4 linked regions of the Cricetulus griseus genome follow. The protein of the gene in region 2 purifies or fractionates together with the protein of the main gene of each other region. This does not show direct contact. Links are inferred from orthologs where the notes say so. Each region holds a gene or a part of one and is shown on either strand. Other genes may lie near its edges. The genes, in order: Cdk19, Med12, Med9 and Vdr.

The links.
Region 1: the proteins of Med12 (region 2) and Cdk19 purify together in Homo sapiens (affinity purification with mass spectrometry; 10 studies listed by BioGRID and IntAct, counting the BioPlex papers as one, with this or other methods). This does not show direct contact. The link is inferred for Cricetulus griseus from reciprocal best matches to the Homo sapiens genes MED12 and CDK19.
Region 3: the proteins of Med12 (region 2) and Med9 purify together in Homo sapiens (affinity purification with mass spectrometry; 6 studies listed by BioGRID and IntAct, with this or other methods). This does not show direct contact. The link is inferred for Cricetulus griseus from reciprocal best matches to the Homo sapiens genes MED12 and MED9.
Region 4: the proteins of Med12 (region 2) and Vdr purify together in Homo sapiens (affinity purification with mass spectrometry; 3 studies listed by BioGRID, with this or other methods). This does not show direct contact. The link is inferred for Cricetulus griseus from reciprocal best matches to the Homo sapiens genes MED12 and VDR.

What each region holds. Positions count from the first base shown.
Region 1 is NC_048595.1:262,901,146-262,905,173, forward strand, and holds the start of Cdk19 (cyclin-dependent kinase 19), read left to right. Parts: upstream 1-1,201; 5' UTR 1,202-1,454; coding exon 1,455-1,582; intron 1,583-4,028.
Region 2 is NC_048604.1:68,969,498-68,973,061, forward strand, and holds part of Med12 (mediator of RNA polymerase II transcription subunit 12), read right to left. Parts: intron 3,264-3,564; coding exon 3,034-3,263; intron 2,453-3,033; coding exon 2,372-2,452; intron 2,255-2,371; coding exon 2,084-2,254; intron 1,880-2,083; coding exon 1,735-1,879; intron 1,568-1,734; coding exon 1,517-1,567; intron 1,222-1,516; coding exon 1,103-1,221; intron 917-1,102; coding exon 773-916; intron 343-772; coding exon 179-342; intron 1-178. UniProt on the Homo sapiens protein: Component of the Mediator complex, a coactivator involved in the regulated transcription of nearly all RNA polymerase II-dependent genes.
Region 3 is NC_048600.1:74,064,886-74,068,917, reverse strand, and holds the start of Med9 (mediator of RNA polymerase II transcription subunit 9), read right to left. Parts: upstream 2,823-4,032; 5' UTR 2,787-2,822; coding exon 2,575-2,786; intron 1-2,574.
Region 4 is NC_048595.1:394,362,672-394,366,235, forward strand, and holds part of Vdr (vitamin D3 receptor), read right to left. Parts: intron 3,335-3,564; coding exon 3,150-3,334; intron 2,940-3,149; coding exon 2,831-2,939; intron 546-2,830; coding exon 374-545; intron 1-373.

The sequences.
Region 1 (4,028 bases), on a different chromosome or scaffold from region 2:
GCCTTACTGATAAAGATACCCTATAAAATTTCTCTTACAAATTTAACATTCTCTTTACAAAAAATGTTCCCTTATATTTTATTTTGGGTAGTGGAAGGGAGCTGAAACTCGTGTGTTGGATGGATCTCCATTTCTTTTAGTTTAAAAATAATCAACACGCAGAGGGACACATTTTTAGCGTGGCACTTTCTAGGCTCTTACATATTTTGAGCCGACGTGTCCTGAGCCCCAGACATCAAAACGAATCAAAGTCATGATTAAGATAAATTTCTTAAAACCCCTAGGTGAGTCTCACTATTATGCATATACTGTAAAAACGCTTTACAACCCAGCAAAAATGATTGTTTTTAAAACGCTGCATTTTCCAATCTTCCAGGCACTTTAATTGTTCTCAGACAGATGGTTAAAGCTCGGCTACCGCACCCCGCATATGCTAGGATAAAACCCGACTGGAGCGCCAAGAAAAAGATAATTGGCTGTGGGCCCGAGAAGTTACACGGTTCCCCTAGCAAGAGCTGGGAAACCGCTGAATGTTCAGGTTTTGAAATACGGTTTTTGCATCGTAAAGAAAAAAGACTAACCTATCAGGAAGAACCGAGCACATCCAATTACCAATCAAGAGCGGGAAAGAAGCCAAAGCCGGAGATACCCATGCACCCACGAGGACGTCATTCTTCAGCCTCTGCCAATAAGCCGCGGCCAGGGGCGGGGCAACGGGAGGATCAATTGCCCAAGAAAACAAACAATGTGTAGTACAACTGTCGAAACCCCGGTCCTCGGCTCCGGATGCCCCGGAATGAGCTCCGGCACTAGGCGCTCGTGAGGTGCTTCCAGCTCCCTTCGCCCAGGGACAGCCAGAGCCGGTTATCTCCTTTCCAGCAGAGCAAAGGCTTCCCTCCCACAAGCTCCCACGGGCTTGCAGAAAGCTCGCTGCAACTTCGCGCTATAGTTTACGGGAACAGCGAGTCGCGGGCTACCTGAGGGGGTGGGGCGGAGACTGTGCGCAGGCGTTTTTGCCTTGTGGAGGCGTGGCCGAAATGGCCCAAGGAACCCTGGGAACTGTATTCCTTACCTCCGAGGAACTAGCACGGTTCCCGAGGCCTGTTAAACCACATTTCCCAGGATCCCCCGCCACCTCGGGGCGGGCCGCTTGGCTTGTTAATGAGTTCGAGAAAGCCGCGGCGCGGCCCACCAGGTTCCAAAACAAGGAAATGAAGGGGGGAGGCGGGACTGTGGGTGCCTGCGGGAGCCTCCGCCGCCGCCGCGGAGGAGGAGGAGGCGGAGGAGGTGGCTGCCTCGGCCGCCGAGGAGTCCCTTGCTGAAGGCGGACTGCGGAGCGGCGGGCGGCGCGCGCGCGCCCGAGCGGCGGCTGTTGGAGAAGTGGAGCGGCGGCGGCGGAGGGACTGAGTGGCGGCGGCCCCCGCGTCCCGGTTTCTCTATGGGGGAAGCAGACAATGGATTATGATTTCAAGGCGAAGCTGGCGGCGGAGCGGGAGCGGGTGGAGGATCTGTTTGAGTACGAAGGGTGCAAAGTGGGACGCGGCACCTATGGGCACGTCTACAAGGCGAGGCGGAAAGATGGGTAAGAGCGCGGGCGGGGGAGTGGGCTCGTCCGGTCCCCGCCGCTGGGAGACCCGCAGGGCTGGGTGGGTCGGAGCCCACGGGGCGAGGTGGCGTGGGTCGCGGAGCGGCGTCCCGGGGGCGAGCCGGAGGCACTCGTGCTGCCGCCCCCCGCTGGCCGGTCGCGCCCCTCCAAGTCGCTCGGCGCAGCCCCGTCGGGGGGCGTCGGTCCCGCCGCGAGTCGCCGCTGCGTGCTTACAGCGGGCGACGACCTGGTGGAGACCGCGCCTGGAGGTGGAGTTTGGAGGTCTGGTCCCCGGGGACTCGGAGAGGTCTGGGAGGGCTTGGCTGAAGAGTTACCGCTATGGCCCTGTGCTGGTGACGGTCGTGGAAGAACTTCCCAATCGGCGCAGCGCCTTCCCGGGGCGGCGGTTTGAAAGCTCGCGGGGGCGCCGCCCGTGTGGCGGCAGCGCGCTGAGGGTCCTGGCGGGCCCCTGGGGTCTGACTCTGGATGCTGCCAACCCAGTCTGCATCCCTGATTGCTCACCTGCTCCCGATTCCACATGCTAACATTCTGAGTTTAGCACTCTGAAGGTGGACCCTGGAGAGATTAAATGTTAGTGTTCTTTGGTGCCTACCTTTTCTTCCTCTTGGCTATCTTGGGTACCGCCTACCCCCCCCCCCTTTTTTTTTTTTAAGACAGGGTCTCTGCTCTCCTGGCTGGCCTGGAACTCAGAGATCCGCCTGCCTCTGCCTCTCAGGTACTGTGATTAAGGACATGTGCTACCCCCCTTTTTTTTCTTCAGGAAGAAATATTGAGTATTATATCCTCCATTTCCCATCCTCTTGTCAAATGGCTGCGTGCTTTGGTTGTGTTTATCGAAAACCTAGACCATCAAGAACAGAAAACGGAGTGACAGACCCAGGCCTGAACCACCGGTTCTTAGGAGTTGAGGGAATTTATAGGAATCTCTTGGGGAGCATTATTTGATTGTTATATTAATAATAATGCATCGAGAATGTCTTCTTTGGGCCAGAGCAGGACGGATGGAACCCGCTTCTGGCCTAGGAATGGTGGGTTTTAAAGCCGGTTGTTTCCTTGGTCCCATCCTGGAAGGAATTCCTTTTTGCTAGGTTCTGGAACTTGGAAAGAAAGTCTCCAACCGACCCTAAGGAGTGTCAGACTATACAAAAGAGAGTTTTTAGGATCGTGTTGGAGCATTTTTGATAAGCAGATTGTCACCACACTTTAGATTTGAAGTGCTACTTAGGGTTCCTTCTTGCACTGCTGTAATTTGATTGGCTGGGTGACGGAACTCCAGCATCAAAGTAGTATGTGCTGATTTTATTGTAAGAGGAAAAACAAAACACATCGTGTGAAGTGTTTCATATACAGTGCTCTGAAAATTACAAGAACTGTCCAGGTTTCAAGGATGATGATTACTGTTGTAGGTACAACTGTAGAGGTCAAGTTACTCAGTTGAAGGAGTTGTTTCTTTTAATTACCATGTGTCCTTGAGGGCTCTCCTGGGGCTATAGGTGCTGTAATCGAGTTGTGCTTTGTTTTTGGAGTATCCACAGTACTTTTTAAATTGGTATTCCAGTGGGAGTCTTTACAGGGATGATTGGGGAAAGCAAATCCATTGCTACTATTGGACATTGTTGTTATAAAATAACCGAGGTGGATCCCCTCTCTCCCCAAGCTAACTTTGTAGTACACTTCATCTAGAATTTAAAAAAAAAAGTTTTAAATTTGAAATATTTTTATTTTGCCTGGAAACTGAGAGAAGTTAAAAATAATTCTGCTTCTGAATTGAATTGAATGGCTGGGCTTGCAACAAAACATAGTGCCTTGTTCTGTTTGTTTCCCAGTGTGTCTCTCTAATAAAGATCTTGATTCAAATACACTTTTTCCTTGAGTGAAACTGGTAAATTAGAGTAAATAAAATAAAGTCAACTTTTGTATTTTCAAAGTAGATTTTAAAAACAACAGCAACCCCCCCCCCCAAAAAAAAAAACCCCAAAAACCAAAAAAACAAAATCCATTTAGAGCCAGAGGCAGAGGCAGGCTGATCTCTCTGAGTTTGAAGTCAACTGGGTCTACAATTCCAGGACAGCTAGGGCAACACAGAGAAACCTTGTCTTGAGAAACAAAACCAAACAACAAAAACTCAAAACCAAACAGACAACCTCCCCAACCCCAAAACCAAAGAAAACCCCGCTTAGAATATGGGTTGCACGCCACATAAACTGGCCTTGATTTAATCCCAACATTTAGGAAGTGGAGCCAGGCAGACCAGAGGTTCAAGGCCATACTTGGCTATACACAAGTTCCAGCCAGTCTGGGGTATGTGAGGCCCTGTCTCAAAAAAAGTGGAACATAAAAGTTTATAGTGACAAGTCTGAGGCAATATTTTTTCTAGTTAGGAATACTTATAATAAAGGAATATTGTTAAAAATTTCTTTTC
Region 2 (3,564 bases):
AGGATCAACAGGGGTATACATGGCCCAGGGCACAAAAGCCCTGGAAATAAATTCAAGTGTCTTGGTACAGCTATTCCTACCCATACCTTAGCAGCAGACTCTGCCCCACTGTGTGGACCCATGTATAACGATCCTTCCTAGGCCATTAACAACTGGCATTTACCAGAACCCTGCTTACCCCTCAAACACTTGTGCCATCTGGTCCTGGTTGAGGATGAGGCAGGCATGATAGTGTCGCAGGACAGCCACGATACATAAGCATAGGCTGGTTGTGTAGCTGCCCACCAGATCAGAAGATTTGAGAAGGAGCTCGGCCTCAACCACGCTCAGCTCATTCAGCAACTATCAGAGACATGGAGGTGAAACATAAGAGGCCCCTTTCATTGGCCATAACCCCACTTTCTGGAAGGAACTTGACATGGCCAAGCCTGAGCTCCTTCCTGCTGCAGCCACTTCAGCACAGAAGGGTCAGGTTACCATGTACCAGTGTCGCACTCTACTAGCAGTATCTCTAAGCAGTCTCCAGGACAGCATGCTATAAACTCCACAGGGGGAGGATGGTCTGTACCCAAAGCTCTAATCTGTCTCTTGGGCCTCCCCAGGGAGCACTTAAACCTCTATTCCAGCAGTCTTAGATCATGTTCCACTCCCACTGTGCTAGTCTTTCAGCCATCCAAATAGCCTAGGAAACTGGCTGGAGCCTCTACTCCTCTTCATGACCCTATAGAGCATGAATTCCTTCTTCCGCCCTTATCTGGCCCAACTTCCCCACCTGAATGGCAAAGTCGATGAGGCCACTGATGCTCAGTGAATATTCCATGAGGTCGAAGATGAACTGCACATGCTGCACCAGAGGCAAGTGGTATGACATGCCAAGGGCAAAGCTCGTGATCTGCTCCAGAACATTCCGGGAGACCTGATAAGGGCAGTAGGAGTGAGACAGGAATGGAAGGAAAGAAGACCTAGGGAAGCAGGAAAGGGTGATGGTGGAAGGGGATGAGACCAGCAGGCTTAGCCTGTTTAGTAGGGGGGGGGAAGATAAAACAAAAAGGAAAAGAGGAAAAGAGGCCAGAATGGGAAGGGGGCTGGCTTAGGCCCACACCTGAGCCGTGACCTGGTGTTGGTCATAATGAGAAAGGTGCTGGAACTTAGCAAAAATATCTTCAGCAGTGGGGAAGGCTTCCGGCCGGTTGCGGCGTCGCTTCTGCCCATCTTCCCCACCTGAGCGGACAGTTGAAAGCAATGAGTCAGGACAATGAAAGAAAACCAGTTGACTAGGGGCTGGGGTAGGGGTGTGGCGAACGGACTATGGTAGGGAGGGAGGAGGGGAAAAGGGAAGGAGGGAAGGAGAAGAGAAGGGAAGGGTGGTCAAGGAAGGGCTTGGGTAGGGATAAACGGGACAATGAAGCACAGGTTTAAAGGGCCACAGACTATGTGGACCTCTGAGGAATGTGTACAGGGAGGCGCTAGGTTAAGGGGGTAGGGGGAGGGCAGTAAGGGGCTTACTGTGAGGTACCTAAGAATGTCAGGTCTCCAGGATTCAGAGGCACAATAGGAGCAAGCTGGTCTGTAGAGGGGGGGAATGAGGGGGAAGTTTCAAAAGGACTAGAGCTCTCAGGAGACTCCAAGAGACAGGACATTGGGACATGACTGGGGAGTGCCCTACACTGGGCATGGGAAGACTGACTAGGGCATTCTTTGGGGAGACTTCTGTTTAAGGAGACTCAAACCCACCAGTTTCTGCTGTTCCCTTGCGGTTCAGAACCTTCAGGATATCCTTGGTAATCTTCTTGATGGCATGGCGGGCATCATCTCGCTGCTTCCCCACCCCAAACAGTACGACCAACCGCTGGTTGCACTCATGGCTGCATGACTCCTCCTGCATCCCGGCAGCACCATCAGATTCCATCATGGGTCTCCTGCCCTCCTCTTAAGAGCATGCTTTGTATCTCTCAAAGCTCCCACGTTCAAGCCCCTTCTCAAACACACCCACACCCTGGGGAACTGGTCTAGCCCCTCAGCAAACTCCTTGGATGGAAATCTGGGCTCAAAGCAGACTATCACAAATGTTGGACAACAGTACCTGTGGGATTGGAAAGTGTGTGGCATACTGCACATGTCGTGGCTGGTCATAAAGAACCCCAAGTGTCCCCTCCATCTTCTCTTTGGGTGGGGGTTTCACTTCCTTTTCGACATCTGGTTTCTCAGGGGATGGGCTTCCCTTCCCCTCACAAGGCATAGTAGGGGAGAACAACTAAGAGGGTGAAAGGGCAGAACATTCAGGAGAAGCAAAAGGAGGCATAAAGAAATTCCAAAAGGAGGCATAAGGGGAGAACCAAGGTGCTGGATTCTTCCATGCTTGGGATCTTACTGAGAAATCGGGCTTCTCCATGTCTTCAAAAAGCACACTGGAACTAGGGTCTATGTCCATAGATTCAGAGAGCCCTGGATCCTGCAGGCACACAACAAATCAAGAGCTGCCTTGGTCCTGGAAGTGCTTCCTCACTGTCCAGGAAAGTTCATTAAGAACTGGATCAAGGCCAGGCGTTGGTGGCGCACACCTTTAATCCCAGCACTCGGGAGGCAGAGACAGGCAGATCTCTGTGAGTTGGAGGCCAGCCTGGTCTCCAGAGCGAGTGCCAGGATAGGCTCCAAAGCTACACAGAGAAACCCTGTCTCGAAAAACCAAAAAAAAAAAAAAAAAAAAAAAAAAAAACACCAAAAAAAAAAAAAAAAACAACTGGATCAAGGGGGCATGAGGAAAGCCCAAGTTATGGATTCAAACCTTGTTCATTTACTTAACCAGTAGGCAAAGCCTCAGTTTCCATCACCTTTAAATGGAAAGCAGGAGAAGTACCTCACAAGCCTTTTCTGAAGATTAAGTGAAAAACTGACATGAGACTATTCTATAAATCATGAAGTTCTGAGAAAATACCATTATTCTTGGGTACAAGAGATGCTCAGAGGCTTCTAGAAGCTGTAAAAATGGGAACGTCAAAAGTAATAATTAAGAGCAATGAAAAGGACACACACCTCTAGCTTGCTACTGCTGCTGCCTTCAGTCTCCTTGCGCTCTGGGTCATCCGCAGGATCATCAAAGGGAGAGGGAGGCCGAGGACCAGGGGCTCCAAAAGCAAGATCTCCCCGAGAGATGAGAGTGCAGGTGTACATGTTGTGCGAGAAAACATCGTGTCGGATCAGTTCACAGAACAGCAGTACTAGATTAAAGAATTCCACTCGTTCACTCTCACTGCGGGGATCAGCTAGAAAGAGGGAATGAGGAGAGATAAGTTAGCAGAACACAAGACGGACAAAAGAGATAGGGACACATCTCAGTAATGGCGCTCTTAGACCAGGCAGAGACAGACACCCCTGAGGCAATAACAGGAAGAACAACAAAAGAAAACCCTGATAACGGGTGGTTGGTAGGTCTGGGAAAATGCCTCAGCAATTAAGAACATTCCCTGGCTGCTCTTCCAGAGGGCTGTTTTTCCAGAGGGTTTGATTCCTAGCACCCACATGGCAGCTCACAATTGTCTATAAACTCCAGTTCCAGGGCATCCG
Region 3 (4,032 bases), on a different chromosome or scaffold from region 2:
CCCAGATCTCATTACAGATGGTTGTAAGCCACCATGTGGTTGCTGGAAATTGAACTCAGGACCTCTGGAATAGCAGCCAGTGCTATTAACCTCTGAGCCATCTTCTCCAGCCCCTGCTATTAAGATTTTTTTTTAAGCCAAATGGCAATTCCATATCAGTGAAACATCAAAGGGCATGCCAATGTTCATAAACATGGCTGAAATTGTAATCTTTTTTTGGGGGGGGGGTGTTCGAGACAGGGTTTCTCTGTAGCTTTGGAGGCTGTCCTGGAACTAGCTCATGTAGACCAGGTTGGTCTCGAACTCACAGAGATCTGCCTGCCTCTGTCTCCCAGAGAGCTGGGATTAAAGGTGTGCGAAACCACCACCACCACCGCCCAACTGGAATTGTAATCTTGTCTTAATTTATTTTTAGTATTTAATGGTTTAGCAGAAGTTACAAGTTCAGGGGTTTGCACCTACTGTCCTATAGCTATACAGTCAGCACTGAATAACCTGGTCAATGCCAGATCATATATACAGTAATAGTCTAATGGTTATAATGTAACCAAAACCTTCCTTTGCCTAGTGACACAGTAGCTGTGGTAACACTGCATCAGAATGCATCACTTACACTATTGTGAAAAAAAACCCACAATAATTTTGCCAGATATATGAAAGTATAGCATATACAATTACAGGTAGTGCCTAATGCTTGATAAGGATATAAATAGTGATGTCACTAGTTTATGCATTTACTATAATGAACTTTTTACTATGATTTTAAAGCACACTCCTTCCTACTAAGAGATTCACAGTTGCTAGGTGTAATGGTACACGCCTGTAGCCCCAGTACTCAGGAAGCTGCGATAAGAGGATCAAAAGGTCAAAGGCAGTGTGGGCTTTGTAGCAAAAACCCTGTTCTCAAACAAACAAATATATAATTAAAACCCCCCTTTTAACAGAATGTCTTAATATACCAGCAGCAACTTTCATACGTCCCATGCTGCCAAGACTCTTTTTTGTTTATTATGTATGTGTGGTATGCCTTATATGTGCGTTGGGGTTGCTATTTGTGTCTGTGAATGCCTGCTGAGTGTGCAGGCAGTCGTGCTAAGGTAGGTTGTCTTTTTCTGTTGCTCTTCACCTTATTGCTTTGAGACAAGGTCACATGATGAATGGAAGTTCGGTTTCAGCCAGGCTGGCTGGCCAGAGCTCTCAAGATCTGTTTGTCTCTACCCTGAAATGCTGGGCTACAAGTATGAGCAGCCATGAGTGGCTTTTTATGTGGATGCTGGGGATTCAGGCTCAGATTGTCTTGCTTTCACAGCAAGCAAGTAGTCTCACCCACCAAGCCATCCAACACTCTCTTGCTGTTACCAAGAATCCTGACAGCACCAAGAGGCCCCATGGAGTAACTGTCCTGCACCACCTAAGTTTATCAAAGCACACTTGAGATGAGAATGTTTGCAGGACAAGTCACCTCTTGGAAGTGACACAACTGTATATGGAAATAACAACAACAACAAAAAAATGTAAGCCAGATTGGAGACTGGAGACTCTGGGTCAGAAAGGTAACACCCACATCCTTGGATATTCTGTTGAAAGTTAATACTGGGTGGGACATAATCATTTGGAGCAACTTCCGTGTCTTTGTTTCAAATGTTTTCTAGCATCACTCCACCCCTCTCCAGTTGTAAAAATCATAGACTATTATGTTTGTTTTTCTCTGCTCTGCTTCTTACTGTGATGGTAAACTGATGGTTCCTTTCCAGTGTTCATCCACAGTACTTAACAGTGCCACACAAGTAAAGATACTGCCTAGTATTGAAACGGGAACTGTGTTCAAGGTGAGAATCTCACATCTAAAATCCACAAATATTCGAAAACTCTTAAGGGGACCACATAATGCTACAAATGGAAAATCCCACACTAGGCTTCATATGAACAGTCAATTGTATAAAATTGCCTTTAGGTAGCCGGGAGGGGTGGCATACACCTTTAATTCCAGCACTCGGGAGGCAGAAGTAGGCGATCTCTGAATTCTAGGCTTGCTTCTACAAAGCAAGTTCCAGGACAGCTAGGGCTGTTACACAGGGAAGAAACACTGTCTGGAAGAAAAATAAAACAATTGCCTTTAGCCAGGTGGTGGTGGCTCATGCCTTTAATCCCAGCACTCGGGAGGCAGAGGCAAGTGGATCTCTGTGAGTTCAAGGCCAGCCTGGTCTGAGTGAGTTCCAGGACAGCCTGCAAAGCTACAGAGAAACCTTGTCTCGAAAAACAAAACAAAACAAAAGTTGCCATCAGACTATATGTGTAAGGACTTGAGACCCATCCCAAAGACGCTGAGGGGTCTGGGATGCGAACAAGAGGAGTGCACCGTAGAACCTGTGAATTTGCTCAGTATGTGAGCTTCACCTGGATGCACAGTGTAACTCTCAAGGCCTGGGAGGTGGCTGAACTCAAAAGGCGACTGTGCGGCTCCTCTGGGAAAATGGGGCGTGGCTCAGAGCGCGCTGGCTTCCGCTGCTCGGACCGAACCAGCAACACCAGAGGCCGGGAAAGTTGGTGTCTTGACCTCTCCTAGGCCCTTACCATTTGATGACATTGTGAACCAACGGCAAAAAGGAGTAATTCTCCTCCTTCCCGCCTGCGGGGGACTGAGGGCGCGGAGCCGGCGGCGGCGGGAGCGCGGCGACCGGTAGAGGCTGAGGCGGCGGCAGCGGCTTGGACTCCGGCAGCAGCTCGGGCGGTGGCTGCAGTGTATCTTCGGCCTGTCTCCCACCGGTCACCCCGGAGGAAGCCATGGTACCAGGCGTGCGGTACTGCCGAGAGTCGCTGGATGCTTACGTCACAGATGTGCGCCCGGGAGGCCGGGTGGGGAAAGGGTCTGAGCCTGCGCGCTGGGCGTAGGCGGGCAAGTGTTGCTAGGCGACTGGTATCCAGACGGCTAAATTAAGCAGTCAGGAGTAGGGGACCTATTTCAGTCATCTTTTTCTAGTTCGCATGACAGAGAAGGGTCAAAACACCAACAAGGACCCCCCCCCCGCCAGTCCCCGCCCTGGGACTGGCAGGAAGAACGGATGACGCCGGTGAGCGCCGTGTGAAAATGGGGCTCTGAGGCAGCGAGCATCCTGATGACAAGGACCTACGCTTCTTTGTGTCTTGCCAGCCTCCAGGAGGGCCCCTGACTGGCGACAGCAAAACACACCATACAAACACATTGTCTGCCGAGGTTCCACATGGCTGCCGAGGGAAAAATTAACCGTTCTTCAAGCATTTAGTCTGCATCTAGCAGGTGCCATATACTTATGTGTATAAGCAAAAGCGGGGGACTTCTGATAGATATTATGTTTTCCCAAGGAAAATATGACATGGAAGCTGTATTATAAATTTCTAGACAAGAAATTAGGAAAGCTGTCAACTGGGAGAGGCCATCTGTCCTTATTCAACCCCCATGCCAGTAAAGAGAGGCAAAGAGCTCAAAAAGGAACAGGAAGGGGCTGGAGAGACGTCTCAGTGCTTAAGAGTGCTCAGTGCTCTTCCAGAAGACTCTGGTTTGGTTCCCATCACTCACAAGGCAGCTCACACATGTCTGTAACTCCAGTTCCAGGGGCTCTGATACCCTCAGGCATACATTCAGGCAAACACCAGTGAACATAAAGTAAAAAATAAGTCATGAAAAAAGGAACAGGAATGTGAAGTTCACAGTGGCAAATCCCAAGTGGAGCAGGGATGTTGCTGACTTCAGCTGCCTTGGGAAGGGCATTTGGAGCCAGATCTTCAGAAATGGAATATTGGAGGTGTTTTGAGGTTTTTAGTTATGGGTCTCAGGATTGTTTTCTTCTGAGCTGCAGAGAGTGTCCCAAACAGAAGAAGTGGAGAAAGTGTTGGGAAAAGAATGATTGCAGTGTTGCATAAAGGAACACAGACAAAGTGAAATTTGACAAAGTGATTTCCTTTTGAAAAGTGAGTGTACCAGAACCCAAACCAAGAGAGCAAAAATACTCATTAAAATGCCCACTGCCTTTACCTCTTACTTAGATGGTGACT
Region 4 (3,564 bases), on a different chromosome or scaffold from region 2:
TGTGCAGGAACCTTGTAGGTTGAATCTAAATGGATGACGTGAGAACTAGTTTCAAGGCAGCAGTGGGAGCCAGCTGCAGGTAGCTAGGGCTCCTTGATCTGGTTCTGATGCCCTAAAAGGATCCTAGCTGGTCATGAAACCTCAGTAGGATGTCATTTCATCACCCAGAAAGTGAGCAGCAGAGCTGCTCTCAGAAGTCTCTCAAAATAATACTGGGCAGCTACATGTGCTAAAGGACAGTCCTGGACTGGCCCAGAGGTCCTGGTGTAAGCCCTCTGGGATGAGCCTGAGGCTGTCATTGGGGGAAGCCAGATATTGTCTAGTACCACATAGGATCCTGACAGTTTCCCAGCACACCACAAGAGCTTCTTACCTGAATCCTGGTATCATCTTGGCAAAGCCGATGACCTTTTGGATGCTATAGCTGACCAGGTCCGCTAAGTGTGGCAACATGGAGAGCTGGGACAGATCCAGGCTCACCAAAGGGTCATCAGAGTCCTCTTCATTCAGATCCAGGTTGGAAAAATTGGATGGTTCCATCATGTCTGGGGAAGATGACGAAAGAGAGGGAACTACTTAGGGACACCCCGGCCAGGCCCTCCTGTGAGGACCTGAGGCAAAGTCACCTCATAGTGACTGCTTTCTCCCAGAGTCCCTCTTCCTACCCAGGCTCCCTCTGGGTCTCTCCCCATCTCTTATTTTAGCTCTTTGAGGCAGTAAATCCAAGAAGCCAGAGATAGTCTGGAAAAAAGTCCTTTTTATCTATAATTTTGCAAAGCATGCAGTCTTCCTAATAACTCAATTAAAACCATGTTTGGGACCCCTCAACCCAGGGGCAAAAGCTGACTTCCTTAACCCATGGGGCAAAAAGCTCACTTCCTACAAGGTAGAGAATATTTACATTTTCCAACTACACACTGAAGACAAATATAAAATGGATGCTGGCATTTGTAAAGACTGAAGCATTGAAGAGAGTCTTACGCAGGTAAAGGTGCTGCAGATGTGTGGCTATGCAGGTCATCTAAAAAACTACTTGAAACCAGGAGTGAAAAGCCTTCAGTTGCTGAGTGTGGTCATGTGCTCCTGTAATACCAGCTCTCAAGAGGTGAAGACAAGAGGATGGAACCCCAGGAGAGAGAGATCTTATCATTATGTGTGTAGTGATCCCACTTCCACGGATTCATTATAAGAAAAAAATTGGATTAAGTATAAATATTTATCAGGAGAAACACTAAAAAAAACTGGGAAGCAATATAGATATCCAACAATAGGGGATTTTGATATTTCTTTTTTTTTTTTAAAATAAAATGAAAAAAGAGAAGGGCCACGAATCATCAGGCTACATAACACAATTCCATTTCTGAAGGGAATCAGAAAGACATATCAAGGGGTTAACAGTAATTTCCTTTGAACATTAGGATCAAAGATTATATTATGCAACAAAATGTATTCACCTACATTTTCTAAATAGCTATGGTGAATGTGTATTACTTCTGTATAACAATTTTTAATTAACATCATTTTACCTTTCTGAGTTTGTAAACATACTATGTGAATACACATTGGTGGGTATAAGGATCTTGGACCAATGAACTTATGAAAAGTTTAAAATTCCCCAGCACCCAGAAGGCAAGTGATCTCCTATGAGTTCCAGGCCAGCCTGGTCTCCAGGACAGCCAATGTTATATAGTAACACCCTATCGCAAAATAAAATAAAGAGGGGCTAGAGAGATGGCTCAGTGGTTAATAGCATTGGCTATCCTTGCAGAGGACCCGGGTTCAATTCCCAGCACCCACATAGCAGCTCACAACTGTCTGTGACTCTAGTTCCAGGGGATCTGGCATCCTCACACCATTGCACATGAAATAAAACTGGTTTTAAAAAAAAGAAAAATTTAAAAATAAACAAATAAAATAAAGAATAATAGAATCACCTAATGGGCATACATGATTACAAAAAGCTGAAGTACTGTTTGTCCATAGCTAGGACAATGACTACATCATCTATGGAAAGCAGAATGAATACTGGCTGGAGGGGGATCCCAGTGAGGGGAGGGAAGGGAGTGCCAGTCACAGCCATGCCCAGCGCTTTTCTTTCGTGTTTGACCACTTCCCTCTCTTCATTTCTGGTAGGTAGGCACTGTCTGCGCAGTTATCTCAGTCCACTTGGCACTAGCACCCAGTTTCAATCCATCCAGAGGTGTGCCAGAGTCCTAAGTGAAGGTCAAGACTGTGGTTACCCAGAATGTGCACACATGTGTGAGGCGGGCAGGGAGAGGGGGGTCCCATCCCCACCTTCTTCCAGGTCCTGAGAGGAGGACACCAGAACTGGTGAGAGATAGAGCAAGAAGGAAGGACGAGGCAGGATGATGAAGATGTACATGTAAGAGAACCCAAAGCAGAAAAGCACAAACTCAGAAGTTGAAGGCGACAGGTTGTCCAAGGCGATGGTGCTCAGTCCCCCCAGTACTCAGGCCATAGGGCCCTTGGCATCATAGGTCATCTTCCCACATCAGTTTCACCTTCCAAAGAGTCCAGGACCAACACCTTGAGCAGTGAGTGACCTCCAGGTCATTCCAGGGAAGAAGTTAAGGACAGAGCTTAGCTCAGAGGCTGAGCCTGGACCCAGAGGGCCCATCTGTGCAGCCAGAAGCCCAGCTTGGTCTCTTCCCAGCACACATCTTTCACAAGCCAGCCCTCTTTCCATGAAAGAAGGGCTGTATCCCACACACCGTATGCAAATAGGAGATTTCTGTCCCTTCCCTATAGCCTAAGAGCGAGTGGAGGTGGACACTTTCCCCCCAGTTTGCTTGGGTGAAGGGCTCCTTACCCAGTGACGTTGTGTACAGATCGGAGCTGGAGGAGGAGGAATCCCCGGAGAAGCTGAGTGTGGGCCCTGCAGGATAGCTCCTTTCACTCCCATCCATACGAACTGGAGGCTGGAAGGCAAAGATGGGTTCTCAGAGGTCCCTATTTGGGGGCTATTCTCCTGCCTCTGAGAACAAAGGTTTCAGGGAAGGTCTGCAAGGGGAACGGCTCACAGGGGACAGCATGGCCTCCATATCTTCCCAGCTCCTCCCTGACCCTCCATCCGGGCTCCCCATGCCTAGGCTATATCTGATTCTCAAGCCCTGGGCCAGCAGACATACCCTGAAATCCCTGAAGTCAGCATAGGTGGGGTCATAGGTCTTGTGGTGGGCATCCAGCAGGATGGCTATAATGCGCTGCTGTTCCTCGGATAGCTTGGGCCTCAGACTGTCCTTCAAGGCTTCTTCCTCCTTTCGCTTCATGATCATCTCCCTCTTACGCTGCACCTCCTCATCTGTTAGGATGACTGTGGGGGCAAGAAAGCAAGTCCTGAGGGATGGCCCCAAATCCCTCCCTCCGGGAGTGCTTCCTCCACAACAAAAGGACTGGCATGGGAGGGGCTAGTCAGTTCCTTACACGGTGGGGGCGGGGTGGAGGGGGGAAGCAGGGCAGAGGGGAGCTCCGTGGGACCTAGCCACCATGTTATGTTAGCTCCCACGCCATGAAATGGAGGAAACTGGGTTTTCTACAGTGAAA